Stegostoma tigrinum: one gene and its partners. The protein of the gene in region 3 interacts with the protein of the main gene of each other region in a pairwise test. Links are inferred from orthologs where the notes say so. Each region holds a gene or a part of one and is shown on either strand. Other genes may lie near its edges.

Region 1 (7,882 bases), on a different chromosome or scaffold from region 3:
GGGGAGTGTGGAGCAGACAAGGGAGTCACGGAGAGAGTGGTCTCTCCGGAAGGCAGACAAGAGTGGGGATGGAAAAATGTCTTGGGTGGTGGGGTCGGATTGTAGATGGCGGAAGTGTCGGAGGATGATACGTTGTATCTGGAGGTTGGTGGGGTGGTGTGTGAGAACGAAGGGGATCCTCTTTGGGCGGTTGTGGCGGGGGCAGGGTGTGAGGAATGTGTTGGGGGAAATGCGGGAGACACGGTCAAGTCATTCTCGACCACTGCAGGGGGAAGTTGCGGTCCTTGAAGAACGTGGACATCTGGGATGTGTGGGAGTGGAATGCCTCATCCTGGGAGCAGATGCGGCGGAGGTGGAGGAATTGGGAATAGGGTTTGGAATTTTTGCAAGAGGGTGGGTGGGAGGAGCTGTATTCTAGGTAGCTGTGGGTGTCAGTGGGTTTGAAATGGACATCAGTTTCTAGCTGGTTACCAGAGATGGAGACTGAGGTGTCCAGGAAGGTGAGGGATGTATTGGAGATGGCCCAGGTGAACTTGAGGTTGGGGTGGAAGGTCGGCGCCACCTCTTGCTCCCCAGAGGAGCTCGAACACTTCACCAACACCTTCCACTTTCCAACTGTCTTTTACCTGCGAATCGTCTCTCCTAATCAACTTTTGAAAGTTCTTGCCTCATACCATCAAAATTTGCCTTACACCAATTTGGAATTTTAACTTTTAGATCAGATCTATCCTTTTTGATAACTATTTTAAAAATAATAGAATCATTAATCACTGGCCCAAAGTGCTCCCCCACTGATACCCCAGTCACTTGTCCTGCTTTGTTTCCCCAAGTGAAGGTTAAATTTTGTTCCTTCTCTAGTAGGGTACATCCACATACTAAATAGGTATTTTTTTCTAGTACACATTTAAAGTCCTTTCTATCGAAGACCTTAACACTATGGCTGTCCAAGTTTACGTTTGGAAACTTGGAATCTCCTACCATTACAACCCTATTATTCTTATAGATGTTTTGAGATGTCCCGTGGAGATGGACATGGAAGTCAGAGACCTTGGGAAAATAAATAGGAATATCTTGTGAACTGCACATATTATAAAAGGTAGTGGTGATGGATGTCTTAAAACACAAAGGTGGATTAATCACAGGGATCCAATCAAGTGAATCCCAGAACTCTGCGGGAGCTAGGGAAAAGATTGCTCGTCCACTTGCTGAGATATCTATATCATCAACAGCCATGGCTGAGATGCCTGAACATTGGCCAATGTGGTGCCACTATTTAAGCAAGATGGTAAGGAAAAGCCAGGGAAGTATAGACTGGTGAGCATGACATCAGTGGTGGGTATGTCGTTGGAGGGGATTCTAGGGGTCTGGATTTATATGTATTTGCAAAGGCAAGGGCTGATTAGGGATAGTAAACATAGCTTTGTGTGGGGGAAATTAAGTCTCACTAACGTGATTGTGATTTTTTGATGAAAGACAAAGAAGATTGATAAAAACAGAGTAGTAGATGTCATTTACATGGACCTTGACAAGGTTCCACATGGCAGGCTGGTTAGCAAGGTTAGATCATGTGGAATCCGGGGGAAGCTAGCCAATTGGATACAAAATTGGCTTGAGGGTAAGAAACAGAAGATGGAGGTAGAGAAGTACTGTACCTCCCAGTCACGCGCCTTTCAACTCTCCCTCTGACTCCTTGGATGACACGTCCATCCAGGGCCTCCTGCAGTGCCACAACAATGCCACCCAAAGGTTGGAGGAGCAGCACCTCATTTTTCGCTTGGGAACCCTGCAGCCCAAAATCTCCACTCCTGCAACCGCATTCCAAAACCAAGCCAGCTCATCCCCACCTCCATAACCTGTACTTCCTCCCACCTCAAGCCCCACCCCCATCTCCTACCTACCAGCCTCTGATTTACAGCATCTACAGTTCTTTTGGTTTTTATGAAAAGAAAATGTGTGTGTATCAAAAGACGACTGGTCAAAAAGTTAAAACTTGGACAGAACGAGGAACACCAAGATAGCTATACCAGTGAAAACTGAATTAGACGTATACCTAGAAAGTACAAATACTAAAATGAACCTATATTACACCACAGTGTAAGAACTAGTACACTACTGGCATGTTAATAATAGGTAGTAAATCACAAAGTTTCTGTTTAATTGTAAGGGGTTCACTCTGGGAATCATTTCTAAATTTTACAACACAAAACGGGGAAAATACATAGTCCATTCACAATCTGTAAAGAAACAAATGACGGATCGACATTTCATCAGAACGAATCTCCTACATCATCGTAATCTAAAGATCCGGCTAGACAGATGTATAAATGTCCATGAAGCTGCAATGCACTCTTCAGCATTCAACTAATATTACTCTTTTTTCAAATAGTCTCTGCTCCGGCGCTAACGTGGCAGAACAATATGAGCGTTGGGTTTATAGAAGTGAGTGCATGAAAGAGAGAGGGAGGAAGCAACAGTCTCTATGAGGTGAAGGTTTGGTTAGGCACAAACCAAACGACTGGAGTCCACTGTTTATAATGAAATGAAATCACTGAATGGCCAACATAGCTGTACACCGCTGCAGCTGTCCAACCACTAGCTCCCCTTCAGGATGATTTGCAGACAAGGGGACGGGGACAGGAACAACAACGAGGCCTCAGCCGGCAAACACACACCTTAACTTACTCATCACGACTCACTGACTGACAAGAGGTCTGGACCAATCCCAGAGGCCGCTAACCTCCCTCCGGCCAATCAGCTGCCGGGGAGGAGGGCGGGACACAGCCGCCATCACCCTTAGGTTGACTGACTCATTTACCGGCTTTTTCATCCCGGCGACGGACGGACAGGCTCGCAGCCGCCTACTCACCTCTCCAAGGTCGCCGCTTCGGTTGACACTAGGTCCCCTTCAAAAGAAAGGCGCGTTCAGCCTCGGTGCGAAAAAGAACAGCGAGTGAAACCCGCTAGTCAGTCCGACACCAACCACCTCAGGAACAGGCGGCCGCCATCTTTGACGACGTTGCATTTACAAGAGGCTTTTGGGTAAAGTGGCCTCTGCACAGTGTTGAGTGATGATGTGTGAAACTGGGTGGAGGTGTGTATGAGGTATCAATGATGAGAGCATAACATATCGCATAATGCATACCGGTGTATTAATACCTCCATTGGCTCCTCCTTGTCCCAACTTCACCACTTTTGCCATCAATCCCCCTCTCCTAGGATACTTCCATGGTAGCTTAATGAACCAATTCATTTTGGCTCATATGAATAAAGAGCTAGAAATTGTAAATCTTGAAAACAAAAAATTGCTTGAAAACAAAAGATATCCAGCACACCCATTCAGCATCTGTGGCCAGAATATAAGGGTTAAAAATGGTTCATACCTTGTTGTAGCCAGGTGTACAGCATTTTACTTTTTCAGCTATGTTGAAAAATATGAATACAGTAACTTGCTGTAGGTGCGCACTAATAACAGCGCAATGAGGGCAACATGAAATATTGGACTTGGTCTGCCTGCTTAACAAAAATACGAGATGGCATTTCTATTTAACACCTACATTGGGCTATCTTGAGATGTTGGCGGGGAGCGTTTCCAAGCAAAATTTGACTTCCAAGCTGCAAAATGCATTTTTAATCAAGTGACTGAAAATTTAAACAAAGTGGTGGGTTTTAATAAGATTAGGAATGTAGAGAAGAGAGATTTAGTGAGAGATTTCACAATAAAGCTTAGGCGTACATAATCAGAAGTGTGCAAGAGAGCCATATTAGGATGATTAGCTGGAGTACAGAGATCTTGAAGGGTTGTAAGGCTAGAGGAGGTTACAGGTCTGGGCAAGGCCATGGAAAGATTTGCAAGGAAGTATAAGCACCTTGATATTGATGAATTGCCAGACTTTTCAGTCAATGTTGATTTGTGAGAATTGGTTTACAAAGAGTGCAAAGTGGAAAACCAACCAGCAAATCATTGACGCAATCAAGCCTAGAGGTACCAGGTGAATATCTCAGCAGCAGATAACCTGAAACAAGGGTGGAGACAAATTATGTTATTGGAGGTAAAAGTAGCTGATTTTGGTGATGGAATATATATGAGATTGGAAATTCATTTCGGTCAAATAGGAAATCAAAGTTAGGCATGTTTGATTGAAATAATATCCAGAGAGGGATGAAGTCACTGACTGGCATGCAGAGTTTGTGGCAAAAGTCCAAAATGATTTAAGAATTCAGAAGGAAAGAGCATAGAAGGGAAGAAGTGTGACTAAAATGGCTGGAATAAAGTTAAATCAGGTATAGAAAAAAGGGAGTGAAAAAACACCTGTTTAAAGAGAAAGGAAAAGTAACATAAACATTTTTAAAAATTGAAATTTTAGAAATCACAATAATTTACAGCCTGCAAGAATGTGATAGTACCATATAAATTGTTCTCCTTCTGCCCAGATGTTGATTGAAGCAGTTGAAAATAGTATCTCCACTGTCAATTACCACTTCTAACTTTCTGTAGCTAGTTTAATGAGCACATCATGTAAAAATCCAGAACAGTTCTTAAAAATAACAAGGTAGTCTGAGGTATCGCCCTTGCAAAGCAGAGTTTGTGAAGGAATGGAAATTGACCAGAGTTCCAGAAATTTATCACCCATCTTGGCTACAAGATCACTAAAATTGAGACCAACATTTAATGCCACTTCCATCCATCTATCGTTCCCACCAAGCTAAACTTCACCTTTGTCCTAATTTTGAAATTTGACAGTTTTGGAAGACCAGATATTCTATCCATTAAATATGGTTAACTGCTTACTAACATGGTAGGTGAAGTTACAAACTCTGTTTCTTAGAAACAAGATTTTCCCTTCTTCCTCAGCCACTTTATTGTTGTTGAACTTTTGACCTTATACCTGGCTTAGGCAGGACCTCCCAAATTCATTATCATTTTCGAGGAGGAGTGAGGTAGCGGGTACATGGCAACTATGGCTTCAAGTTCCCCTCTAAACCACTCACCGTCCTGAATTGGAAGAATATCACTGTTCCACTATGGCTGGATTAAAATCCTGGAATTCTCTCCCTAAGGGCATTGTGAATTAAACTACAGCGCGTGTACTGCAGTGGTTCAAGAAGGCAGCTTACTACCACCTCTCAAGGGCAGCTAGGTATGGGCAGTAAATGCTGGCCAGCAAGCGAAGCCCACATCCGATGAGGAAAAAAAAAAGAAACAGAAATTTTGAAAAATTAGCAAGGAAGTAATGCTCAATTTGTAAATTACTGCTGTAGAATCATTCACGTGCACCTCAACAAGTACATGGGGCTTTAGCGTGATATCTCATTGGAACAAAGGCGTCTCTGGCAGTATAACTCTCTGTCATTATTGCACAGTGGGCACCCAATATAACGTACAAAATATCCATTGAGAAGTTTTGCTGGTGATGGTGCAGAAGAGTGGGAGCAAGGTAAGGCAAATTTAACTTAACTATTATTGAAAAGGTGTTGGTCAGCTTCCTTCTTAAACCACTGCAGTGTGTATAGTGTTAAAATATCCTTCGTACTGTTAACAAAGGAGTTCCAGAATTTTAATAACAGGAAAGAAACAGCAATATATATATATATACTCCACCCCACAATGGTGAGTGGCTTGGGGAGAACTAGCAGGTTATATGTTCCTTGTTTCTGTAGGTAGCTGAGGTAACAGTTTTGCAAAGTGCTATAGTTCACTGCATATGTGAGACAAATGAGGCATTCCACACCAGTCTTCACCAATTGCTGTCCTGCATCCCCAAGGAAGACAGGTTGATTCTCCGTGGGAACTTCAATGCCAGAATCAGGCGTGATACCAACCTTTGGAGAGGCATGTTTGATAAGGAAAACATAAGGAAAATAAACTCCAACAGAGTCCTATTCCTGATGAAATGCATGGAATGTGACATTGTCATAACAAATACCCTGTACCACCAGAGGAATGACTTCAAGATTCCAAGATTTCTTGGCAACCCACCCCACACTCCAAACACTGACACTTGATAGACCATATCATAATTTGAGCAAGAGGCTGCAAAGGTGTCTGCATCACCTGCACCAAGACCAGAGCTAATGACTGCTGGACAAACCACTGACTAACCCCCTTACCATCTCCACCAACCTGGCCCCAAACCATCAAAGGCAACAAAAAAATCTCTACCACAGAGTACTCAATATTGCTGGTCTCAAAGACCTTGAGAATAAAGATGTACCCAGGCAGCGCCTCACATCCAAACTGGAGGTGATCAACAGATTCACAGGGTGCCCACAGTGCCTGGTCCACCCTAAAAGCCACCATGGTCACATCTGCTTGAGGCCACTCGGCCTGTTGAACAGGAAACACTAAGACTAATGAATGATCAAGAGATCCAGAATCTCCTAAATTGCAAACATAAGGGTTCCTGGACTGGCAGCTCTACCAAAACTTGAGTGAGAGGAAGGAAGTGTAAAGATGATTGAAGGACAAGATGAAACTAAGAGCCTGAGAATTATCACCAATGCTGCCTTTGCAAAATCTTGCAAATCCACTGGCAGGATGGGCAGTGAGCATCCTCTCCTAGGCCAATATCCACAGTGTGATGGCACAGGTTACCCAATCTGTGACAAACAGGCCACATTGTCCACATATCCAACCCAAGTCCCCCTAAATGAGTGCTGTACACTGAGCTCCACAACGGTAAGCAGTCACTAGGAGCATAGAGGAAACAGTACAAGGACAGCCTGAAGGCCTCACTGAAAAAGTGCACCATCCCCACTGACACATGGGAATTGTTAGCCCCAAAACTCTCAAACTGAAGAAACATCTTCAAAGGCACTGACCGCTTTGAACATAACCTAATAGAGCACTGAGTCCTGAGGAAGGGTCACTGGACCCGAAACGTCAACTGTGAATTTTTTTCGTCACAGATGCTGCCAGACCTGCTGAGCTTTTCCAGCACGTCTGTTTTTGTACCTAGTGGAGTAGATGAAGACTAAATGCAACAGTGGAAAGAGTGCACACTGGTGTAAAGAGTGAATGTTTAAGGTGCCAGTCTTGCAGAATGCTTTACCTAGGATGGAATCAGGCTTCATGGGTGTTTTAGGAGTTGTATTCGTCTCAGGAAGTGGAGAATATTCCATCGCACTCCTGACGTTTGCCTTGAAGTTGGTGGATAGACCTCAATGAAGAACATGAGTTACCTATAATATTTATATAGTTGGTTCAACTAAGATTCTGGTCAATGGCAATCTCCCAGGATTTTGATTGTAGAGATTAAACATTAATTGTCCCATTGAAATCAAAAGGAAATGGTTGTATTTTTCCTTGTTGGAGATGGTCACTTAGACATTTGTTATGGTGCAAATGCTACTTGCCATTCATCAGCCTAAACTCTAATATTGTCTGGCTCTTGTTGCTTGTGGGCATGCACTTGATTCATTTTCTGGGGAGCTACAAAAGAGACTAAAGACTAATCACTATAATTCCCTACTTCTGATCTTAAGATTGTGGGAAAGTATTGCTGAAGATGCTTCTGTCTGGCCATTACCTTGAAGAATTGCTGCAGCAGTGTTTTGGAAGGAAGATGATTGATCCAATACCAAAACCAGTCTCTCCTATATCAGCTATCATTCCACTTAGTTTTGCCCCAGATCCCCACTGAGTTCAATTTTGCTCAGCCTCCTTGATGCTACACTCAGTCAAATAATTTTTTGATATCAAGGGCAGTCGCTGTCACCTCACCTCAGGAGTTCATTTTTCTTGTCACGTTTGGAACAAGGCTATAATGAGGTTTGGAGCCAACCAGCCTTAACAGAGCCCTAACTGAGCGCTGACATGCAGATTATTGCTGAATAAATTTCACTTGATAACACTATCGATAAAAGACATCACTGTCCTGATGTT
Region 2 (7,437 bases), on a different chromosome or scaffold from region 3:
GTTGTAGAATAAGTGTTCGATGAAAAAGCATTATCATTCTCCATGTCCAAACATGACTAAACATTTGTATTCAGTAAAGCTGTAAATTCGCAATTTACGGGATCCAGGCATTACTGTATTCCATTGAGACAATTCAGGATTTTCTCATCAAGGGATGACAGAAGTGTTATTAATATTTGTAGATATGAGTTTGGCAGATAAGATGATTATATGGAAATCAAATATACAATTTGCTCACCACTCTTCACAAAAATTACAGCTACTGCTAAAGGATGTCGGAATTGTAGGCAAAGAACAGGAAACCCTTGTCAAAAAAATCACATTGCATTGTGATATTAGTATTGAATATTGTAAGACACCACCATGCCTGGTTGTAAGCTCCTACAGTCTGAAATTCAATGAAGTAAAAGTTATGGATCTGAAGATATGGGTCAAAGATCAGAACGTCTATTAGATTTTGTAGATATGGTGACCAGGTTTACCATACACACAGTGATAAACAATAAGGGTAGGTGGACGATAGCGTAAAAAGACATGGAAAAGTGGGCCAGTACAGTCCTTGGGTCACAATGGATAATGAAGGTGAATTTGCAGATGACAAATTTGGGGACATGTGTGTGAATACAAATATTGTAGTAATGCATATTGTTGCAGAAAGTCCATTCAGCAACGGCTTGCATGAAAGAAACCATCTGATAGTAATGAGGCTCTACACAAAATATTGACAAATCAGTCAATCAGAAAGTTACAAAAAGCACTGGCAATCAGCAGTAAATGCAAAATGTTCTTTATAAATAGTTGGCAGTTTTAGCTCAAACCACTTAGTACATGCTCAGAATGTTGCCTTCAATACTGCATGATGATCCTAGAATATCTGGCAATCAGCACCAGTGTGAAAGCACTCATTAAAGCTGAAAAGGTTGGAGAGCATTGACATACTGCATCAGATGCTTTGGGAGAGATTTCAAATCCAGTGGCATGGTTTATGATAAGCCAGAAGGACACAGCAAATGCAAAGATCCAGCAAATGTTATTGGATGTGACAGGAGAACTTTCACAGGAATCAAACTATAGGAGTACATTACCCATGGCTAGTGGTGATAAGTTCAAAAAGTCATACAGTATGGAAGCAGACCCTTCAGTACAACAGTCTATGCTGACCATAATCCCGAACTAAACTAGTCCCATCTGCCTGTGCTCGGCCCATATCCCTCCAAACATTTTAAACATTGTAACTGTACCTGCATCCACCAATTCCTCTGAAAGGGGGAGGCAATGGCCTCATACTTTCATTGCTGGACTGTTAATTCCAGTGGCCCAGATAGCATTCTGGGGGCCCAAGTTAGAATCCTGCCATGTGCTCCTGAGATGCTGCTTGGCCTGCTGTGTTCATCCAGCCTCACATTTTATTATCTTGGAATTCTCCAGCATCTGCAGTTCCCATTATCTCTGATGCCATCCTTACCTGGTCTGGCCTACAAGTGACTCCAGACCCACAGCAATGTGGTTGACTCAGAACTGCCCTTTGGTTGATTAGTGACGGACAATAAATGCTGTCTAGCTAGTGATGCTCTCATCATGTTAATGAATTAAAAACTGCTCATTCCATACATGAACCAGTCTCTGTGTAACAATATTGCCCTCGTCTTTTTTTAAAATATTTTTCCTCTCAGCTTAAAAATATGACCCCCAGACTTGAAATCCCCGACTCTACAGAAAAGATAACTGCCATTCATACTGCTTATTATTTTATAAACTTCTAGCAGGTCACTTCTCAACCTCCTACGCTCCAGTGGAAAAAGTCCCACCCTTTCCAGCCTCTCTTTATAACCCAACCCATCCATTCCCGGCATTGTCCTGGTAAATCTCTTCTGAACCCTCTCCAGCTTAATAATATCCTTCCTAAAACAGGGAGAACAGAACTGGACATAGTACTCCAGAAGAGGCTTCACCAACGTCCTGTCCAACCACAATATAACGTCCCAACTTCTATACATAAAGGTCTGAGCAATGAAAGCAAGCATACTAATGTCTGCTTTCTATATGTGACACGAACTTCAGACAATTATTTACCTGAAACCCCTGGTCTCTCTGTTCTACAACACTGCCCAAGACCCTACTTTTAATTGTGAAAGCCGTGTCTTTATTTGTTTTCCAAAATGCAATGTCTCACATTTTTTCAAATTAAACTCCATTTGCTACTCTTTAGTACCCAATGATCTCTTGTAATCTTAGATAACCTTCTTCACTGTCCACTTTACCACCAATCTTGGTTTCATCCATAAACTTATTTAAAGTATTTCATTTATTCAAACTTCGTATTTTATATAAATTTTACATATGCAAAATTAGTATTTCTTCTTGCATATATTCACTCTTAATTCAAAAAAACCTGGTTATATGCACGTTAAAAAAGGAGTCAAGTCCATCTGAAAGATAAAGGGATCCTATGGATCCAAAACCCAGAAGGAGTGGCTGGACAAAGTGAAGCCAAGACATTAAGAGTTTGAGATTATCCAATGTGGGAACTTGCCCAGGATCTGGGCATAACAGGCACCAGGTAACAATGTCAGGATCTGAGAAGATCAAAAGTAATGCCTCAAAAGCACTCAAAATCAGTTAGAATTATTCTTGATATATGACAGTGAGGTAGGGCATTTAACCCAACAGGTCCATACAAACATTTATTCTCTACTTGAGACCCTCTCAACTTCAGTACTCATACAGTTATCTAGTCTCCCATTAAAAACAGCTATCATGTTCTCTTCAAAACTCACAGGAAGATGAATTTTCGGACTCTAAGAACATGGGCAAAGGCGTTGCCGGCAAAGAACCAGGTACTTTATGTACCCGTGAGTTCTACAAATTGGTGCTGAGGGGCAGGACCTAAGGGCTCAGGAAATACACACTGATAAAAGCACCAATCATGATGAACATGAAGAAGTTATCTCATGTGGGGATCATTTTCCCAAAATAAGTTCACAAGTGGTTAACTTGCCACTGATTCAGCTGAAGTAGGGTGCCACAATAGTGGGACGTGAAGGCAAATCTGTGGGAAAATATAAATATTGGCTAAATGGCCAAGACGAGCGACATGATCGATATGATCGGTATGACGGGTCGGCACAACATCGAGGGCCAAAGGGCCTGTACTGTGCTTTAATGTTCTACATTCTATGACATGAGGCTGTGGATTGGTAACAGGCAGTATGAGAATGAGAATGGAGAAACCCAGTTCCAGTTTGAATACTGATTCAGAAAATACATTTAGGAGGATAAAGCCAGATGCAATAATGAGGATTTCTGGCAGACATCCTCATAGGAGTATAGTGCAGAGAGATCCCAATGTTAGAATAGAAACTGCAGCTAAACAAGATGACTGGATAGCAAGGATAATGCAGACCTTCCTGGAACAACAGATAAAAGTCAATGTCCTCATGATCAGAAGATGTTTGCAGCTACAGTTAAATCCCCAAACCCTGACCACCATCTACAAGGCACAAGATAAACTAAACATTGTCTCTTAACACTCAATGGCATTACCATCACTGCAATCTCTACCAACATCTCCTGGGTCACCACTGGCCAGAAACTCAATTGGAGTAAGGTTGTAGGTTTGCTCACCGAGCTGGTGTGTTTGATTTCAGACGTTTTGTCACTCTGCTAGCTAACATTGTCAGTGCACCTCTGGTGAAGCTCATCTGAGCTACAAATCGTCTCAAAAAATTTCAACTGGAGTAAACCCTGTAGCTACAAGGGTAGGCCAAAAGCTAAGGATTCTGCAGCGATTAATTCACCTCCTGGCTCCCCAAAGTCTGTCCAGCACCTACAAGGTACAAGTCAGGAGTGTGATGGAATACTCCCCACTTGTGGATGAACGCAGCTCCAATGACACTCATGAAGCTTGACACCATCCAGGACAAAGCAACTCACTTGATGGGCACCACACCCACAGACATCCATTCCCTCCACCATCAGTGCTAAGTAGCGGCATTGTGCCTTCTACATGATGTTATACAGAAATGCGCCAAAATATCCTTCAACAGCACCTTCCAAATCCACATGAAGACAGACAAGGGTAGAAGATGGATAGGAACACGGCCTGCTGCAACTTCCCTTCCACCCTAACTAAGGTCGTGTTAGCGGGGGGTCGTAGGGTACGGCGCTGCGATAGTGACTGGAGCCCGGATAGGCGGGTAAATGTGGGGCGCAGTCTCCGTGAGCAGGGCGGGCCCAGGAGGCGGTGCCTCATGTGTATTAGGCGGGGCCTATAGCGGGTCGGTGTCCCGGCAGAAGGCGGTGGTCCCATGGGGAATGGGCGGGGCCTATAGTTGGGCAGGGTACCGGTAGAGGGCGGGGCCTTAGCAGGGCGGTGACCCCCGCGGTGGGCGCGGCCCCGTGGTCAGTGGGCGGGGTCTCAGGCCCGGTCCCAGTGGGTGCGGGGGGAAGGGGCAGGCCTCGAACAGAGAATCTCTCGTGTCCGTCATGCCGGCTACTGGGTGAGGTGCCGACGCTGCAGGATGTACAGTAGTGGGGAGCTGGTCGCTGATTTCCTTCGTTATAAACTGTCCCAGAGGGGCCACAACTGGAGATGGCTTTGTGAGCAGAATGGAGCGGCGGGCCTGGGGACACAGCCCGAGCCCGGAGCGGCTGTGTGCAATGGCAGGCCCGAGGCTGAGCGGGCCCGCCAGGCCCTGTTGGATGCCGCTGAGGAGTTCGAGCTGCGCTACCGCCGGGCTTTCAGCGATCTGTCGGCGCAGCTCCGCGTTACGCCGGACACGGCATACCGGCGCTTCGAGCAGGTGGTGGGTGAGCTGTTCCGCGACGGCGTTAACTGGGGCCGGCTGGTGGCTTTCTTCTGTTTCGGGGCGGCCCTGAGTGTGGAAAGCGCCGAGAAGGAGATGGGCGCACTGGTGCCCCGCATCGCCGACTGGATGAGTACCTACCTGGAGAACAACCTGGACCCTTGGATCCGGCAGCACGGTGGCTGGGTAAGAGCTCTAGCCAGCTTCATCCACCAGGTCTCTACATTGCAAAGCCTGGGAATCTATACAGTGTACCTGATTCCTAACTCTAGCCCCACGTCGCTCACCTTTCACACTAGGTCGTTGTCCTGTAGTCCAAGAGTCTCTTTCTATCCACACATGGTATCTGACTCCTTATTCCCTAACCACAATAACCCCTCACCCTCTGATCCTGAACCCTATAAACCCTCATCCTCCACATAGAATCCTGACTGTTAATCCCTAAATCTATAACCCTTCATCCTCTACACAGGAAGTCTGACCACTTATCCCTAACCCTATACCCCTTTCCCCTTAGATACGCCAACCCTGGCTTAACACTAAAGAGCTTTTGGCCCTGACTTCTGTAGAGAGCTGGCAGACACTGGGCTGAATGATCATCCTACTTTCTGTGTGATTCAGAGATTCTACCTCCATGGCAGCGTTGGTCCGAGTTTGCTAATTTCTGGAAAATGTTTAAAATCACTGAATTTAACCGATAAAATGGAGAGACCCCATAATCCTAGCTTGCTGTGATACTCCATCACACTGTTATTTCTTGATGCAGCACATTTGACTTTGCGCACTGTATTGAGAAGGATTTCCACAATTTATTTGGGTAGTTAGCATTTCTTTGAAAGAATATGAGAGCTAAACCTAAACTCTAGCATCCCAGTGAAGTTTGGTATTGAATAGATAGATGTGTTTAATTCTTTAGGGCTTGTGATCTCCAACTTTGTTTTGGTTTTGTGGGCTGTTTTGAAATTGGGTCTTCTGAGCAGCATACCCTTAATTGATGGAGAAATTTTCAATCCATGATCACTTGGACTTTAAATTGGGCCATGAGTGAGAAACTTGCAAAATGCATCAAGACGGCAATGTGCTGGTCAGGTAGTCAAACAGAATTCCATCTACAGAAATGAGAGTTATTAGATTTTGGGAGGGCAAAGAAATAACAACAGCTGATGGGACATTGTGAAGTTTGTGGAAAAAGAGAGACTTTTGAGTACGTTCCACATAATTCTGATTTAAAAAAAACATGAGTAGTCAATAAATTAGCAAAGAATGTGTATGGAATAACTTCCTTATTAGCCAAAGCCTAGAATATTTGAGGGAGGGTGTTTGCTTAAATTGTATATAGCTGTGGTTAGTGCACTGTGTACAGTTCTGTGATCACATTGGAGGGTTACAGAGAAGAATTACAAGGGTGTGACAAGGAGTGGAGAATTTCAGCTATGAGGAAATGTTTCCATTGAATAGAGGCAACCATGGGAAGATTTAATTGTGATGAAAAGATAGACTTGAGGGGTCTAGATTGCGTGGATGGGAAGGTACTATTTCCCTCAACAGCAACTTGAGATCATTGATGTAATTTAGTCAATACAGTGTGGAGTTGGAGGAACACAGCAGGCCAGGCAGCATTAGAGGAGCAGGAAAGTTGATGTTTTGGGTTGGGACCCTTTGCCAGTCCCGATGAAGGACCCGACCTGAAACATCGGCTTTCATGCTCCTCTGATGCTGCCTGACCTGCTGTGTTCCTCCACCTCCACACTGTGTTAACTCTGATGCCAGCATCTGCAGTTCTTGCTGTTTCTCTCAATGATGTAATTTTGTTGGTAAAAGGATTAGAAAGGAAATGAGGAATAATTATGTTGGCCAGAAGATGCTGGGGATTTGGTATTCACTGCCTGGAAGGCAAAGAGGGATAAGCCTTTATCCCGCTTAGGCGTTTGGTTTGCACTTGAAATGCCATAACCTATTAAACTGATCAAGAGCTGGAATGTGGAATCAGGGTGGTGAGCTTTTTTTTTAACAGGACAGAAACGATAAGTCAAATGGCCTTTTGTGCTGTGAATTACAGTCCTAAATTACAGTAATTCTATCTTTTGATCAGAAAGACAGATTTGCATTTCGTTAAAGCCTGCCACAACCTCAGGGTGTCCCAAGCTACTTTACCTCCAATGAAACACTTGGTCATGTATCAGTCAGTTTGAGATATAAGTGAATTAAAGGAGAGAAAAGTTAATTTTTAATGTAGCCCTTGAGACAAGAATGTAACACATCTCTGCAGATGTGAAGAGAGGAACCTCACTGATTGACTCAGCATCTGTGATGTCGTTTGGCCCAAAGTCTGGAGGAGAAGTTGGGCTGTAGTGTGTAAAGATGGAAGTAATTGGTATAATTTGAAATGTGTGTACAATTCTGGTCCGCATCTTTTTGAATATTGATCCATTGTACTCAGAGCTGACCGGTGTGAAGAATGAACCGTATAAACGTTTGTAAGACTGTGTGATTGTTGCGTAGTTTTGAACATGTGAATTTCAACCTCCTTTCTTACACTTTGCTGTTGAGATGAGGTGGAAATTTTCCACTCAGCTGCTACCTGTCTGTGACCTGTCTCACCAGGGTGGCGTTACATTAGCTATATCATTGT
Region 3 (7,493 bases):
GGTTACGAGGAGAAAGCAGGAGAATGGGGTTGAGGAACTTATCAGCCATGATTAAATGGTGGAGCAGACTTGATGAGCTGAATGGCCTAATTTCTGTTCCTATGTCTTATGGTCTTATAGCCTTTGGGACTGCACCATGAGGGAACAAGAGGAGCAAGAGTCAAATTAAAAATCTTTAGGAAAGTGATCAGAGACGAATTAAAATGTTACTCAAAGGTAGATGCATGTTTGGCATCTATCAGCACTTATACACATGGTCATTTTTCCATTTTCAACAGCTCTAGCAAGTGGTAGCAGTCACATAGAAAGTTGCTACATGTGGAAATATCAGATGCTCCACCTTTACAGAACAGTACTCCAAATAATTCTGTTACAAAGGACCACAGGTTTGCACAGGTGAGGCAACCTCACGGAACTCATCATTTCCCAATCGTCTACAGTCTCAGCATCCAATTAGCTTTCTAATAAGTCTGCAACTTTTGATTCTGGCCACCATCTGAAAAACCAAATCAAACAAGTTAATTTCTCTTGGTCTGAAGAGCTATTTCTTGATGTTGCCTTTCACCAACTTGCCCTCGTTTGTTTATACATGCGTAAAGGAATTAACTCAGCCTTTGAATACAGAAAACATAAGTAGTTAAACACAAGATAAGGTGTGATTTTAAGTATGAGTGAATATCTGGATCCACACAAGCTCCGTAGAGCCAAGCTATATTGATGTCTGAACACTGCACTCTTGCTGTTTAAAGCCTCAACATTACCATACCTTGATCTAGGTCGTCTAACATTTTCAGTCTCAATGATGGCTTGTATTAAATAGAAATTTTTCACACAGAAACAGTCCATACGGCCTGGCAACTTTTAAGCTTCATGTGGGTCACAGTAGCAAACCAACGTAATACTGGAGGTTCTGCCAACAGTACAGACAGACAGGAAATGGCATTAAACACGAAGCCTGGTGGTGAAACTACACTCACTACTCAGAAAGCCAGTAGTACAAGATACTCCCGCTATACTCACTGTAACAGTCAACGTGGCTGTTTCTTCTCTCATATGTTGCATCAAAGAAAAGCTCAAACCTATTCTACAGGTCAGTCTGACCCATTGTACATATTGGGATTAACAGTTAACTTTTGAGGAAAGTTTGCAAATACTTGCTTTGTATTTCCTTGAGATGAAAGCTGTTCTAATTATGATTTGAGACGATCAAAGGAGTAGATAGGAAAGAGACAGAGAGACTGACTAGTTTCTCAGGGATGCGGCGGGGAGTGGGGGGGGGGGGGTGGTGGAGAAGCAGAATACAGATTAAAATTTGAACCAGGCCAATTTGGGGTGATGTCAAGAAGTAATTCCTCATACAAAGTGGATTGCAAATCTGGAACTTCCTCCTCCAAAAACATTTGAGGCTGTGACTTAATTGAAAATTTCAAAACCAAGATAAGATTTTTAACAGCAGGAATATTCAGGATTACAGAAGTAAACTAATTTAAAGGTCAGGCATGATCTAACTGGAAAGCAGAAGATGATGGAAGGCAGAATGCCCTCTTTCTGTGCTCCTAATTCTGTACTTAGAAACAGACCCACACATATAGACAAAGAGACTAGCACACACATAACATTACAGAATTCTATTGATTATTGATACCTGAAGATACGCCATGAAATACACCTTCCTTGGTCCTGGAGCCTAGAGATAAATACATTAAAGAAGAAGTAAAAATAAATAAAAACCCCTATTAATAAATTGTCACAAATCACAGCAGCAAATCCTCTTTCCCCAGGCTCAGGTCAAAATTAAGCAGCCAAGGCGTGGAGAGGTGTTAAAGGCTAGCATCAACGAAAGCAGGAAAAACTGACAACGGGTTGGTCAGCCGGGGAAGAGCCACGGGATCTGGAAATAACAGGGAGCTGCTTGTTAGGCAGGGGTTAAGCACGCCATTGTTCCACTTCCCCGGGACCTTGTACCTTCCCCATCCTCACCCTCGCATCTTCTCTCCTCCCTCTAGCTGGACCGCTGGAGAAATGACAGCCTGCCAGCAGGTTCAAATCCCACCTGCGCCTGAGGTGTGTTATGTCAAACAAATTGCTTCAACAACATAGATAATAATAATGATGACAGTTCCGAAATTAGTGCAAGACAGACATGGGGGGGGGGGGGGGTGCCCGTGGAAAACATTAAAAACCTCAAATTTAAAGGAAAATAGATCAAATTCGGGTTTAAGTCCTTAAATTTCAAGCTGCAGGAAATAAATTACATTGGCCTTACCATTGACACGTGTCAATGTCCCCAACTCAGTGCACACAGCAGAAAAGGTCTTCAGAATTCAGCAACGAAATGACCTTGACCGCAACCTTCCCGCTCATCGAATTTAACACACACACATCCAATGTTACATTCGTTCTAAATTTGTTGGAAAATAATTCCTTTTCAGCACCCGACGGTTTACGTTTTACAAATCTGCACTGGATTAGTTCTGGATTTTTTTTAAAAAACATATACAAAGAAATCTCCCTCCCTCCCGGTGCCAAAACACTTGATGCTCTGCTTCTCTGCAACTTCCATATTTCGGATTTGGAAGTGGCAGCTATCCTTCCTCCCCGTCTGACAAATCACCCCACACACCGTTCTTACCAGAGAATAAAAGGAAAGCTTTCTATTATTCCTCCGTGTTTCTTACACATCCCACCCCCATCCCCCCAAAGGTGTAAGATTGGGTGAATGGAGTTGTGTGTGTTTTTACCCCGTGCCATTTCTTGTCTGAAAAGACAGCCATGTGAAGCATTAATTTTCTACCTACCCACATACAGCACCCCATCCTTCGTTTTTCCCGCCGCCTCTGCCACTCCCTGCTTCGTTTTCTCGGCAGCAGCTACTACCCCATCCTTCGCCTTGGACAGCCCTTTCATGAAAACGTCCATGGTTACTCTTTGGTCACTAGGCGAAAGAGAGAGAGACACAGAGATCACACAATAAGTAAGCCTCTACAGTGACTTAAACCACCTAAAATCTGAGAACCACAAACACCGACACGACGTTCAAGTTTACCGTTTGATTTGTTTATCGGAGAGAGAAAAAAAAATAATTCCCCCAGCTGTTCAGTACATCACTGCAGCATCAAGGTTTGGTTTAGGATGGTTGAGCTAAACGCAGCCCAGAGCTGAAACCACCGAAAGCTCCAGCGCCTGGTGTTTGAACAGATTGGTTCTGACTCCAACTGAGCAGCCCAGCTTCTTCCCCACTGCGTCCTCATTCGAGGAAAGCAGACGTGCCTCCTGATTTGTGGTTGTGAAGGGCTTTCATCTCTCGGTTCCAACCCACCTCCCACCACCCGTGGGGACATTCGGCCCCCACCTTCCCTCCTCTTCGCCCTCGGCTGCAACATTTATATAAAACACATCAACTTCAATCGAAAGGAATGCTTCATCATCTTGGATCTGTCTCGCCTGTGGAAATTATTCTTCTGTTGCCATGTGCCGAAGACTAGCCCTGCAGTATTTTAAATCTTTCAGATGGAGAAATGCACAGCAATATATGTTGAACACGTTACCCTTTTTTTGTAGTGACTGGTACGTTTGCTATTAATATAGTATATATGTGTAAAAAAAACTACCACCTCTCCCTCCTCTCTATTTCTGTAAATGCTTTTAAGAATTTAATCCAATGTAATTTCTTGACGACAGTAAACAGACAAATGAAAATGAAAATTTGAGATTCTGAATTAATTGCTTGTTTCATTTGTTTCTGATGCCAGATTAAGTGATGTTGTGTTGACAGCAGTAAAGAGAAAAACCCTCCAACAATTGTGTTTCAGCAATATTTCAATAATAATGTTATACTTTTCTTAGCGTATTGAGTGCAAAGTCATGCAGAGAAGCCTCAGAAAATCTGATGACTTTTGCCATCTGGGGGAAGTGTAAATGCTAAATAGAGCAGAAAGAAATAGTCGCGAGTCACATTGAATCAATTTTTAATACCATGCAATGAAAAACAAAATCTGTGTAAAATAAGATGCTGATTGTCCTCTTATGAAAAAAACAAATCTTCAAACTAAGCCTGTGAGGGATTCAAATAATTGCATTAACATTTGCTGAGGAAATTCTTTCTTCAATATTTTCTGTGTCAATATCTGAGGGACTGTGGATGTGACAGTTCAACAATGGAACATTGCCTCAACAAATCTTTCAAACGATTGTCATGAATGCATTAAGTCCACAAAGCCAGTATCCCATCACCAAGCCATCCTTTATTTACATGCCCATGCCACCGATCTGGGTCCCAAAGAGCCAGATCTCAGAGTGAGCAGGATGTCTGGCACTCCGAGATCACAAGGTGTGGAGCCGGATGAACATAGCAGGCTAAGCAGCACCTTAGAAGCTGGAATGCTGACGTTTCGGGCCTAGACCCTTCATCAGAAATGGGGGAGGGGAAGGGTGTTCTGAAATAAATAGGAAGAGAGGGAGAGGCAGATCAAAGATGGATAGAGAAGACAGGTGGAGAGGAGACAGGCAAGTTAAAGAGGCAGGAGTGGAGCCAGTAGAAGTGAGTAGGTAGGGAGGAGACAGGTCAGTCCAGGAGGACGGACAGATCAAGGGGGCGGGATGAGGTTAGTAAGTAGGAAATGAGCGTGCGGCTTGCGGTGGGAGGAGGGGATGGGTGAGAGGAAGAACAGGTTAGGGAGGCGGGGATGAGTTTGGCTGGTTTTGGGATGCGGTGAGGGCAGGGGAGATTTTGAAGCTTGTGAAATCTACATTGATACCATTGGGCTGCAGGATTCCCAAGCGGAATATGAGCTGCTGTCCCTGCAACCTTCAGGTGGCATCATTGTGGCACTGCAGGCGCCCCAGGATGGACATGTCATCTGAAGAATGGGATTGCGAGTTGAAATGGTTTGCAACCGGGAGGTGCAGCTGTTTGTTGCGAACCGAGCGGAGGTGTTCTGCAAAGCGGTCCCCAAGCCTCTGCTTCATTTCCCCAATGTAGAGGAGGCCACAACGGGAACAGCGGATGCAGTATACCACACTAGCACATGTGCAAGTGAACCTCTACTTGATGTGGAAAGTCTTCTTGGGATCTGGGGATGGGAGTGAGAGTGAACAATCTCATTGTTACCCAACCCCGCACCACCCGCTTCTATCTCCTTCCCAAAATTCACAAACCTGCCTCCGCTGGTCGAACCATTGTCTCAGCCTGCTCCTGCCCCACCAAAATCATCTCCACCTATCTGGACTCCATTTTCTCCCCTTTGGTCCAGGTACTCCCCAACTACGTCCGTGACACCACCCACGCCTTACACTTCCTCCAGAACTTCCAATTCCCCAGTCCCCAACACCTCATTTTTACTGTGGACGTCCGGACCCTAAACACCAGCAGTCCTCATACAGATGACCTAAAGGCCCTCTGCTTCTTATTGTCCCGCAGGCCCGACCAGTCTCCCTCCAATGACACCCTCATCTGCTTAGTCGAACTCGTCCTCACCCTCACCCTCAACAACTTCTCTTTCAATTCATCCCATTTCCTACAGACAAAGGGGGTGGCCATGGGTACCCACATGGGCCCAAGCTACGCCTGCCTATTTTTAGGTTACGTGGAACAGTCCCTCTTCCGCACCTACGCTGGCCCTAAAGCCCACCTCCTCCTCTGTTGCATTGATGACTGTATCGGTGCCACCTCGTGTTCCCACAAGGCGTTTGAACAGTTCATCCACTTCACCAACACCTTCCATCCCAACCTCAAGTTCACCTGGACTATCTCTTACACCTCCCTCACCTTCCTGGACCTCTCTGTTTCCATCTCAGGCAAGCACCTAGAAACCGACATCCATTTCAAGCCCACTGACTCCCACAATTACCTATACACTTCCTCGCACCCACCTTCCTGCAAAAATGCCATCCCCTCTCCACAGTTCCTTCGCTTCCACCGCCTCTGCTTCCAGGATGAGGCATTCCACTCCCGCACATTTCAGATGTCCTCGTTTTTCAAGGACTGCAACTTCCGCCCTATTGTGGTCAAGAACGCCCTCAGCCATGTCTCCCGCATTTCCCATAACTCATCCCTCACACCCCGTCCCCGCAATAACAAACAAAAGAGAATCCTCCTCTTCCTCACATACCACCCCATCAACCTCCGGATCCAACGCATCATCCTCCGACACTTCTGCCATCTGCAAACCGAACCCAACAACAAAGACAATTTTCCCTTCCCACACTTGTCTGCTTTCTGGAGGGACCACTCTCTCTGTGACTCCCTTGTCCACTCCACACTCCCCTGCAGCCCCACCACACCCGGCACCTTCCCCTGCAACTGCAGCAAGTGCTACACCTGCCCCCACACCTCCTCCCTCACCCCCATCCCAGGCCCCAAGAAGACTTTCCACATCAAGTAGAGGTTCACTTGCACATCTGGCAATGTGGTATACTGCATCCGCTCTTCCCATGGTGGCCTCCTCTACATCGGGGAAATGAAGCAGAGGCTTGGGGGCCGCTTTGCAGAACACCTACGCTCGGTTCACAATAAACAGCTGCACCTCCCGGTCGCGAACCATTTCAGCTCCCCCTCCCATTCTTTAGATGACATGTCCATCCTGGGCCTCCTGCAGTGCCACAATGATGCCACCCGAAGGTTACAGGATCAGTTCTCATATTTCGCTTGGGAACCCTGCAGCCCAATGGTATCAGTATGGACTTCACAAGCTTCAAAATCTCCCCTCCCCTCACTGCATTCCAAAATCAGCCCAGCTCATCCCCTCCCCCCACTGCATCCCAAAACCAGCCAAACTCGTCCCCGCCTCCCTAACCTGTTCTTTCTCTCACCAATCCCCTCCTCCCACCTCCATTTCCCACCTACTAACCTCATCCCGCCTCCTTGACCTGTCCATCCTCCCCGGACTGACCTATCACCTCCCCACCTATACTCTCCTCTCCACCTATCTTCTCCTCTATCCACCTTTAATCTGCCTCCCCCTCTCTCCCTATTTATTTCAGAACCCTCTTCCCCTCCCCCATTTCTGATGAAGGGTCTAGGCCCGAAACGTCAGCGTTCCAGCTCCTAAGGTGCTGCTTGGCCTGCTGTGTTCATCTGGCTCCACACCTTGTGATCTCAGAGTGTCAGACATCCTGCTCACTCTGAGATCTGGCTCAGTGGGAGCTAGATCAGTGGCAAGGACGTCCAGCTCCACACCTTGTGATCTCAGATTCTCCAGCGTCTGCACTTCCTATTATGTCTGACACTCCTGTTTATGCCTGTCAGCCCACACTTCCTGATTGGACAAAATTAACAGCCCCTCATCCACCATGTCCCACTCAGATTCCAAGGTATTATTCAATGCTTGATGGAGAGGGAGAACCCACAGATCCTGGAACAGTCAGAAAAGCTGTTGAGGAGCTGAGCACATTTTCCCACTCCACTGTTTGCAAGTTTGTAATTTTCATGTGGTCCACCAGGTGCTTATTCAGGACTATCACACCTACCTGAACTTTATATGACATGGACGTGC
Region 4 (8,264 bases), on a different chromosome or scaffold from region 3:
TACAGGCATGTGGGTGGTCAGACCTGCAAGAGTTAGCCTTATGAAGGAAAGTGTTTCTCATTTGTGAAAAGTTACAAATTTTTGTTTTAAACTTAATACTCCAATGAAAATAATTTTCTCAAAATATTCCTAATATGTTGAACCAAGAGACTATTTCCAACTCTTCAAACACTCTTGCTTCCACCTGTAGCAATCAAGATCTGGAGGATAAATTACTTTGGTGGTTCCGTTGACCCTCCACAGTTTTAAGGAGGAAATGCATACTGAAAAGTACAACAAAGGCAAATATGATTGCACTTGTCCATACCCAGGCCTGCTTTTACTGATATATAGTCTTGCTAAGAAGAATACACATTTTGGTATCTGCTTAGAACATAGAACAATACAGTGCAGAACAGGCCCTTTGGCCCTCAATGTTGCGCCGAACTGTGAACTAATCTAAGCCCCTCCCCCTACACTATCCCATCATTATCCATATGCTTATCTAAGGACTGTTTAAATGCCCCTAATGTGGCTGAGTTAACTACCTTGACAGGCAGGGCGTTCCACGCCCTTACCACTCTGAGTAAAGAACCTGCCTCTGACATCTGTCTTAAATCTATCACCCTTCAATTTGTAGCCATGCCCCCTTGTACAAGCTAAAGTCATCATCCTCGGAAAAAGACTCTCACTGTCCGCCCTATCTAATTCTCTGATCATCTTGTAAGGTCTCTATTAAATCCCCTCTTAGCCTCCTTCTCTAAAATGAGAACTGCTTTTTGTCTCACGCCAGAGATGACATGCAAGAATACCAGTTCAAAGGAAAAGCAATATTTATTTTGTATGTACGGAGAATGTTGATCGTTTGGAATGTAGACTCTGGGGCTAGAAGTGTTAACATAATGCATCCATTAATGCTGATTGCTTTATTTAAATTTTGAACCATACAGATTGACTTTAATTTCTCAGGGTAGCACCCCTGAACAATGAGTGAATGGCTGTTACATTTGAGATGAATCTGCAATTGGACAACATTTGTTGGATAATCCTGAATGGTTATCTGTGCAAGGAATTGCACAATCTAAATTGTCAATTGAACTTGCAGTGTGGCAGAGGTGGGTGTACCAGAAGCTGCTTATATTAAAGCACGGGAGGCTGGAGAGTTTGTGATCACTTTTCCCTTTAGCTGTCATACTGGTTTCAACCATGGATTCACTTGTGCAGAATCACCTAAATTTGCCACACTTTGCTGGATTGATTATGGGAAAATACCTACTAGGTAAGGAGTTTGCAAACTATGATGTGGTTGCAATCCTAATTCATTTGGCTTGCCTCCTTGATATTAAAACATCATTTTATTGCATGCAGTTATTAAAATGTATCCCATGGTGACCATGCAGGTGAGAAGCCCAAATAAATTCACTTCTGTTCCCCATCATTTTTATTTGGTTATCAATGACTTATCTTCCACAAATTTTTTCCTGTATTGGTTTGGAGAAATAGAACTTCTCCATCTATCCTGTATAATCAATGAGAGATTGATGCTACGATACCAGTTGATGTTACAAGTAAACAAGTCATATCTCTGACAGAACCCTGGCTTGGTGGATCATGCTGTGATTTGTTTTTGTTTTCATGAAGTGGTCCCTTGCTGAACATAGGCACACAATGCTGCAGATTTTTACTTTAACGATGAAAAGAAGTTTATTAGTCAAAGAAATGAGCATAAAACAGGATAAACTAAACCATCTGTTATAATACCAATTCAAAGATTTTTAAACATACAGTGCAAGTATAATCCAACTAGTAATGGCATTGATACAAATAATGGACATTTCCAAGGTTTGAATTACTGTCTACTTATCTGCATTACGCAGCAAATCATCAACCTGCTTGGGTGTGAAAACAACTTCCATAAAATTCTCTGCTTCCAGGAGATTAATATTGAAAATGACACAATTCTAATTTCAATGTTCAGTTTAATCTGCTCTGCTAGATGGCAGATTGAGGAGCACTGCTCCTGAGATTGCAGGCTTATTTCCAGATTTACTTCTAGATTTCTTCAGTTACTTTAAGTACATGAATAAGAAATCTTTGGAGGTATATGGCGTAGTCCTGCTCCTATTTCTTTATGTGCATATTTAAAAAATGGGAGGGAAGCATGTAGAGTCAGAATTTCTTATTAGATGTTTGATGTCACCTGACACTTCATATCACAGACTCCATCTTAGAACAGGCCACTTGAAGTGTGGCACACCAATGAAAGCATACAGCTTTTTGTTACCAAATAACTTGATGTTTGCCCAGATATGGATGTGCCCATGAATGCAATATCTGTATAGTCTGCTGTAACAAACATCTCAGTGATTGTTTCAATAACACATTAGCCCTATGTAGTCTTGTGTTATGAGGGATAACAAACATTGCCATCTCATGTAAAGAAGGCTGAAGGCAAAAAGCCCATCATTAGGATACCCTGTTGCAAATCACTACAATTCAGGACATTTAAGTGGTGAGGTAATTTAGGTAAAAGACAGGTAGTAAAAGGACAGAACAGTGCAATTAGAGTGCCTCCAATGATCAGGTTTGTGATCTGGAAGAAAAATACATTACAACAGCAAATCTAATGGGTTAGTATTAGTCATTTTGGTGTGTCATAGCTGCCTCAACAGGTTAGGTGGTGTGTCAACCCCTGAAATGATCTAAGTATCTACTGTTTTTACAGATGTTGACTCCAGTGCCTTATTTCTGCTAGTGGGGTCGAGGAGGGGACAATGAACCTCCCTTATGAGTTGGGAAAATTGTTATGCCCTTCAACATGTGCATCCCTTCAATCTCTATTTTTTAAAAAATGACTGAACTAATACAGTTACTTTTTGTTCAATATGACAGTGAAAAGTTTTCATTTGTCACCGTTATCTGGCATCATTTTGAATAAATTAGTAAGGATTAAAGTGCAAGCCCAAACAACATCGGAATCACCTGTCTTGGTGCTGGGCCTACCTCCAATGGCGCTGTGATGCCCATCTGCTGCTGCTTCATCACTGCCAGCATGAGACCCAAGCAGTGACAAGGTTGCTGATCCTCAGGTGCAATGTCTCACCCATAAGCCTGCCTCTGGTGATGTAACCACCACCGATTCTGATGCCAGGTCCTGTGCTCACCCTGGAAAGGTAAGGACTCATTCAGGGTCAACACTGGGCCCAATCAATGTCTGCCTGGTACCTATCAAGGTCTGCTTACCTGGCCTGTTCAGGGTCTGCGGTGGGCTCTCGCTGCTAACGCTGACCGAGCTCAGGACTAGAGGTAAGAAAAGATATACGGCGGGGGGGGGGGGGGAGAAAAAGAGAAGAAAAGAAAGAAAAGTGATCGGAGCAATGAGCTCCTGTTCAGGAGCTCTACTCCTGTGCCATCTTCTTCAATTCTGTCAATAACTCAGAATCTGACTCCCATTAAGAGTGATAGAGGTGTATATCACAAACAGACTCTGGTCCAATTCATCTATGCTGACCAGATCCTAAATAAATCTTGTACCATTTTCCAGTATTTTGCCAATATCGTTCTAAACCTTTCCTATTCATATAGCTATCCAGTTGCCTTTTAAATGTTGTAATTGTACCAGCCTCCTCCACTTCCTCTGGCAGCTCATTTTGTACATGCACCACGCTTTGTGTGAAAATGTTGCACCTTGGGTCCCTTTTGAATCTTTCCCCTCTCACCTTATTCCTATGCCCTGTGGAAAAGACCTTGGCTATTTACCTTATCTATACCCCTCATGATTTTACAAATTTCTATAGTATCACACCTCTGCTTCTGACACTCCAGGGAAAATAGTCCTAACCTATTCAGCTTCTCCATGTTGCTCAAACCATCCAATCCTAGCAATGTCCTTGCAAATCTTTATGAACCCTTTCTAGTTTTGCAACATCCTTGCTATTAGCAGGGAGACCAGAATTGCAAAGAGTATTCCCAAAAAAATGGCCGAGCCAATGTCCTGTATAGCTGCAACATGACCTCACAACTTCTATACGCAATGCACTGACCAAAAAAAAGCAAGCATACCAAACACCACCTTCACTATCCGATCTACCTGTGACTCCACTTTCAAGGAACTATGAAGTTGCACTCTTTGTTCAGCAACACTCCCCAGAACCTTACCATTAAGTGTATAAGTCCAGCCCTGATTTGCCTTTCCAAAATGATTCTTTTTAAACTTGCATCATTTTGGGATTATCCCTTATTTCTAATCTGTATGCATGTGTATTGCTTTACTAGTTGTTGGTAATTAATAAATTTGCTCTTTGACTCAAGAAAGCCTAGTTTAGTTTGCACCTTTTGAAGCATGAGTTCATTTGGGTCTGAGAGAAGGGTATTCACCAGGAAAGGGATCCATTTTTAAAGTGACCTTGTTATAACTAAACAATGGAAAAGTGGATGCAGGTGAATAAAGGGAGCCAGTTCATCTCATCTCACGTCACCCAGACGCTCAACAATTCGGGGCATGCTATCTGGAACCATAACAAATTAAGGAATCCCACGAGCAATGGGAGCATCAGCCACACACCAGTCAGACATGGGAACTATATTGCCGTTCTTACCCTGTGCTGTGTTAAAATTCCGCAAGTCACTAACAGCATTGAGTGTGATCTTAACAACCCTCGGAGTTTCTAAAGAACACTGCTGGCCACCACTTTGTCCAAGAGTGAAGGGATAGGCAATAAAATGTTCCTCTAAAATAATGCAAAAAAAAGGGGGAATCCGGAGATCTGAAACAAAAACAGAAATTGCTGGAAAAAACTCAACCAGTCTGGCAGTATCTGTAGAGAGAAAGCAAAGTTAACATTTTGAGTCTAGTCATTCTACCATACCCTAGCCAGCGACATTCCACATCCCACGAATAAGTGAGTTAAAATACTTGGAGGGTTTTAGCACTAAGGGCGATAAATGAAGCGAACTCTTGTTGGTGCAGTGATAATGGGAACTGCAGATGCTGGAGAATCCAAGATAACAAAGTGTGAAGCTGGATGAACACAGCAGGCCAAGCAGTATCTAGGGAGCACAAAAGCTGACGTTTCGGGCCTAGACCCTTCATCCTCCGTCTAGGCCCGAAACGTCAGCTTTTGCGCTCCCTAGATGCTGCTGGGCCTGCTGTGTTCATCCAGCTTCGCTGATATCTTGTTGGTGCATCCTCCTCCAACCGAAGTGTGGCATAGATGCAAGCGTGTAAAGTCAGTCCTCCAGGCTAGGGGGAGTCGGAGAGGGCATTGTCGATCGGGACCAGTGCTTCCTCCTTCTTGGGCTGGAGCCGGGTTTTTTTTGTGGCTTGCGGATTGCAGGTTCGATGCTCCGCTGCCGTGAGTGAGGTCCATTGTGGTTTCCGGCTGTAGAGAACGCCGTAACAGCCTCTCACGGTAGCCCCTTCTCCACCCCGGTGGGTGACAGGAAGATATCACCTCCCGGCTGTAGGGGAAGGTGAGGAGGGGGATGTGACAGGCACCCGAGGCTGACGCAGTCGGTGGATCAGCGCGGGGAGGGTTTTGGGTTTTCGGGCCCGGTGGCTCGGACCATGGCCTCGGGGAAGTCGGTGCTGTGCGGCGTCGCCAGCCTTTACCTGAGCGGCTTCTGTATCTTTCTGATGGTCGATGTCTACGCTCGGCCGACCAACAACTCAGCCGTCAAGCGGGAGAAGTCGGGCGCCAAGCTGGACGACAACGAGATCCAGCCCCCGAACCACCTGAGCGGGCTTAAACTGGAGAAGGGGGGTGTCCTGAACAAGGATTTCCACCAGGAGGTCTTCCTGGGCAAGGAGATGGATGAGTTTGAGGCGGACTCCGAGCCCGTCAGAAACCGAAAGAAGCTCATTGCCATTTTTGAAAAGTGAGTACTGTCGTCAGCATTTTCTCGGATGGGAGACAGGGCAGGATTTATACACTCAATAGTAAGGTCCTGGGGAGTTGTTAGTCAACAAAGAGACCTTGGAGTGCAGGTTCGTAGTTCCTTGAATGTGAAGTTGCAGGTAGACAGAATAGTGTTCGCAGTTTGGGGCTGGGCCCAGATCTTTTAAAATGACAGTCATTCAGAAAATCTAGTCTCAGTGCTTAATCCTACCCTAGTTGATAATGTTCTAAAACCAGGATAAGTTTTTGTTTAGTAATTGAGTGTGGCTGGTATTTATGCTTGGCACTGATTTCTTGAACCAAGATTAGGAAAGTCACTTGAGAATGTGACACTTATTATTCTTGAATGCACGATTCTAGTATTTGCTTTTTTAAAAAATTCCACCGTGGCTTTTGTTCACGTCTAACACCACACCCTTGGAAATGTGAGCACTTATGATTATGGTATCATCACTCTCAATTTTAAGTGCTCTGTGGTAGTTGCACCTTCAGTTGCCTAGGCCCAAAGTTTTTGTAAACCCTTTCATACACCTGTCTGTCTCTCTGTCTGTCTCTCTGTCTGTCTCTCTGTCTGTCTCTCTGTCTGTCTCTCTGTCTGTCTCTCTGTCTGTCTCTCTGTCTGTCTCTCTGTCTGTCTGTCTCTCTGTCTGTCTCTCTCTGTCCGATGTCCTCAAAACGTTCCTTTTTTGGGTCCTTTAACAAAATCTACTTTTTTGTGCTTTGGTGTAATACTTTTGTTTCAGAACATTCTAAGATGCTTTGCAGAAACATTATATCAGGTTAAAGGTGCTACATAAATATGTTGTTGCTCAATATGCTGAGAATTTCGAGTTAAGTGTCCTCTAGTTTTTTAAACTTGTTCCTAATCTCGATGTGGATCACATTCTGTCTGTACTGTTTACACTGTGTTAATAATTGTACGGTTATCACTACAGCATTTAGTGAGTATATGATGAGCATGAGGTTAGTACATAGAAACAATTTTGTTGTTTTATACATCGTGCAGTTAAGAGTTATACAGTGGCATTCCAAATGGCCTTTGAGTAGATGGTGATGATGTCCCTTTTTGTTGTTGTTGTGCAGTGCCTGTTCGCTTTATTTTGATAACCTTCAATCCTTTGTTTGCACAGCCATGCAAGTTAAACCTAAAGGAGTTGACTTGTGCACAATTTATTTGACTTCTGCATTGCTACACGGTTGTGCATCCCAGAGAGAGCATTGGTGGTGAGCTGTCACTTGAACTGCTACGATGTGTTGATATTCTCCAGTCCTCAAAGGAATTCTTGTATTTTAGTGACAGTAAAGTTCCAAAGCAGAATGATGGGTGACTTGGTGGGAAGCTTTGGAGCTGGTGGTGATTCCATGTATCTGCTGCCCTTGTTCTTGACATGATGCTAGGGACAGATTTGGTAGATACTGTCAAAGGAGCATTGGTAAGAAGTTGTAATTAATGCTGCATCATTATAGAAAATACTCCCTCAAGCCAGAGTGCTGCCGGAGGAATGAATTAAGTTGATGAATGAGGTGATGGGCTACTTCTTATTCTAGGAGTGTTAACCACCTTGATTGTTGTTGCTGCCCTCATTCAGGCAAGTGGGAGGGATTTAACACACTCTTGACTTGTGCCTTGCCGATGGTGGATAGACTCTGGGGAGTTGAGAGGTGAGTTACTCAGCAAATAATTCCCAGATCTGACATGTTCTTGTATCTACAGATTTAATACAATTGGGTGAGTTAGGTTTTAGTCACTGCTGACTCCCAATACATTGGTGGACGGTTCAACGATAGTAATGCCATTGAAGGTCAAGCAGGGCTAGACACATGCTTATCGTTGCTTGGCACTTGTGTGTCATGCATGTTACTCGCCACTTATCTACCACAGCATGAAGGTTATCCGTATCTTCCTGCATCCAGGCCCATTATCTGAGCTGTTCCAACTGGTGCTGAACATTGTGAAACATTGGTTGAAGCAGCTGGAAATGGACTGTACAATTAAATTACTTTTTAACGCTAAGATAGAGAAACAAAGACTTATTTGAAAACTGGACATTGAGCCAAGGAAGAAAATATTTTGAGGCTGTTACAAAATATTTCTTGGTAGAAGTGAACGTGAGTTTAAAAGAGGCAGGAAGATTTTAGAGAGGGCATGGCCACCACAGATGCATGGAACAAATGAAGGTGTGGAGTCTGGAATCACAGGAATAAGTAATTTGGTATAGGGTTGTTTGGCAGGTAAATGGCTTCACTCTTCTCCATAAAGAACTATGAAAGTGAAAATTTAAGGTGTTGAACAAGCAAGATTCGTATCCGTGAAGGAGTGGACCTTTTGTGTAGGATCTGAAACGCAGCAAGTAATTGATTAATTGAAGTTTATGGAGGTTGGAAGGT

Evidence for each region.
Region 1: the proteins of alpha-synuclein-like (region 3) and arfgap1 interact in binary tests that used the Homo sapiens proteins (3 or more experiments, as listed by UniProt). The link is inferred for Stegostoma tigrinum from reciprocal best matches to the Homo sapiens genes SNCA and ARFGAP1.
Region 2: the proteins of alpha-synuclein-like (region 3) and bcl2l1 interact in binary tests that used the Homo sapiens proteins (3 or more experiments, as listed by UniProt). The link is inferred for Stegostoma tigrinum from reciprocal best matches to the Homo sapiens genes SNCA and BCL2L1.
Region 4: the proteins of alpha-synuclein-like (region 3) and sdf4 interact in a two-hybrid assay, tested with the Homo sapiens proteins (2 studies listed by BioGRID and IntAct). The link is inferred for Stegostoma tigrinum from reciprocal best matches to the Homo sapiens genes SNCA and SDF4.

What each region holds. Positions count from the first base shown.
Region 1 is NC_081372.1:31,569,709-31,577,590, reverse strand, and holds the start of arfgap1 (ADP-ribosylation factor GTPase-activating protein 1), read right to left. Parts: upstream 3,038-7,882; 5' UTR 2,867-3,037; intron 1-2,866. UniProt on the Homo sapiens protein: GTPase-activating protein (GAP) for the ADP ribosylation factor 1 (ARF1). Involved in membrane trafficking and /or vesicle transport.
Region 2 is NC_081372.1:57,848,444-57,855,880, reverse strand, and holds the start of bcl2l1 (bcl-2-like protein 1), read left to right. Parts: upstream 1-4,298; 5' UTR 4,299-4,520; coding exon 4,521-4,991; intron 4,992-7,437. UniProt on the Homo sapiens protein: Potent inhibitor of cell death. Inhibits activation of caspases. Appears to regulate cell death by blocking the voltage-dependent anion channel (VDAC) by binding to it and preventing the release of the caspase activator, CYC1, from the mitochondrial membrane.
Region 3 is NC_081354.1:9,864,531-9,872,023, reverse strand, and holds the start of alpha-synuclein-like, read right to left. Parts: upstream 3,267-7,493; 5' UTR 3,047-3,266; intron 2,936-3,046; 5' UTR 2,920-2,935; coding exon 2,799-2,919; intron 1,688-2,798; coding exon 1,646-1,687; intron 1-1,645. UniProt on the Homo sapiens protein: Neuronal protein that plays several roles in synaptic activity such as regulation of synaptic vesicle trafficking and subsequent neurotransmitter release.
Region 4 is NC_081381.1:29,565,538-29,573,801, reverse strand, and holds the start of sdf4 (45 kDa calcium-binding protein), read left to right. Parts: upstream 1-5,260; 5' UTR 5,261-5,545; coding exon 5,546-5,856; intron 5,857-8,264. UniProt on the Homo sapiens protein: May regulate calcium-dependent activities in the endoplasmic reticulum lumen or post-ER compartment. Isoform 5 may be involved in the exocytosis of zymogens by pancreatic acini.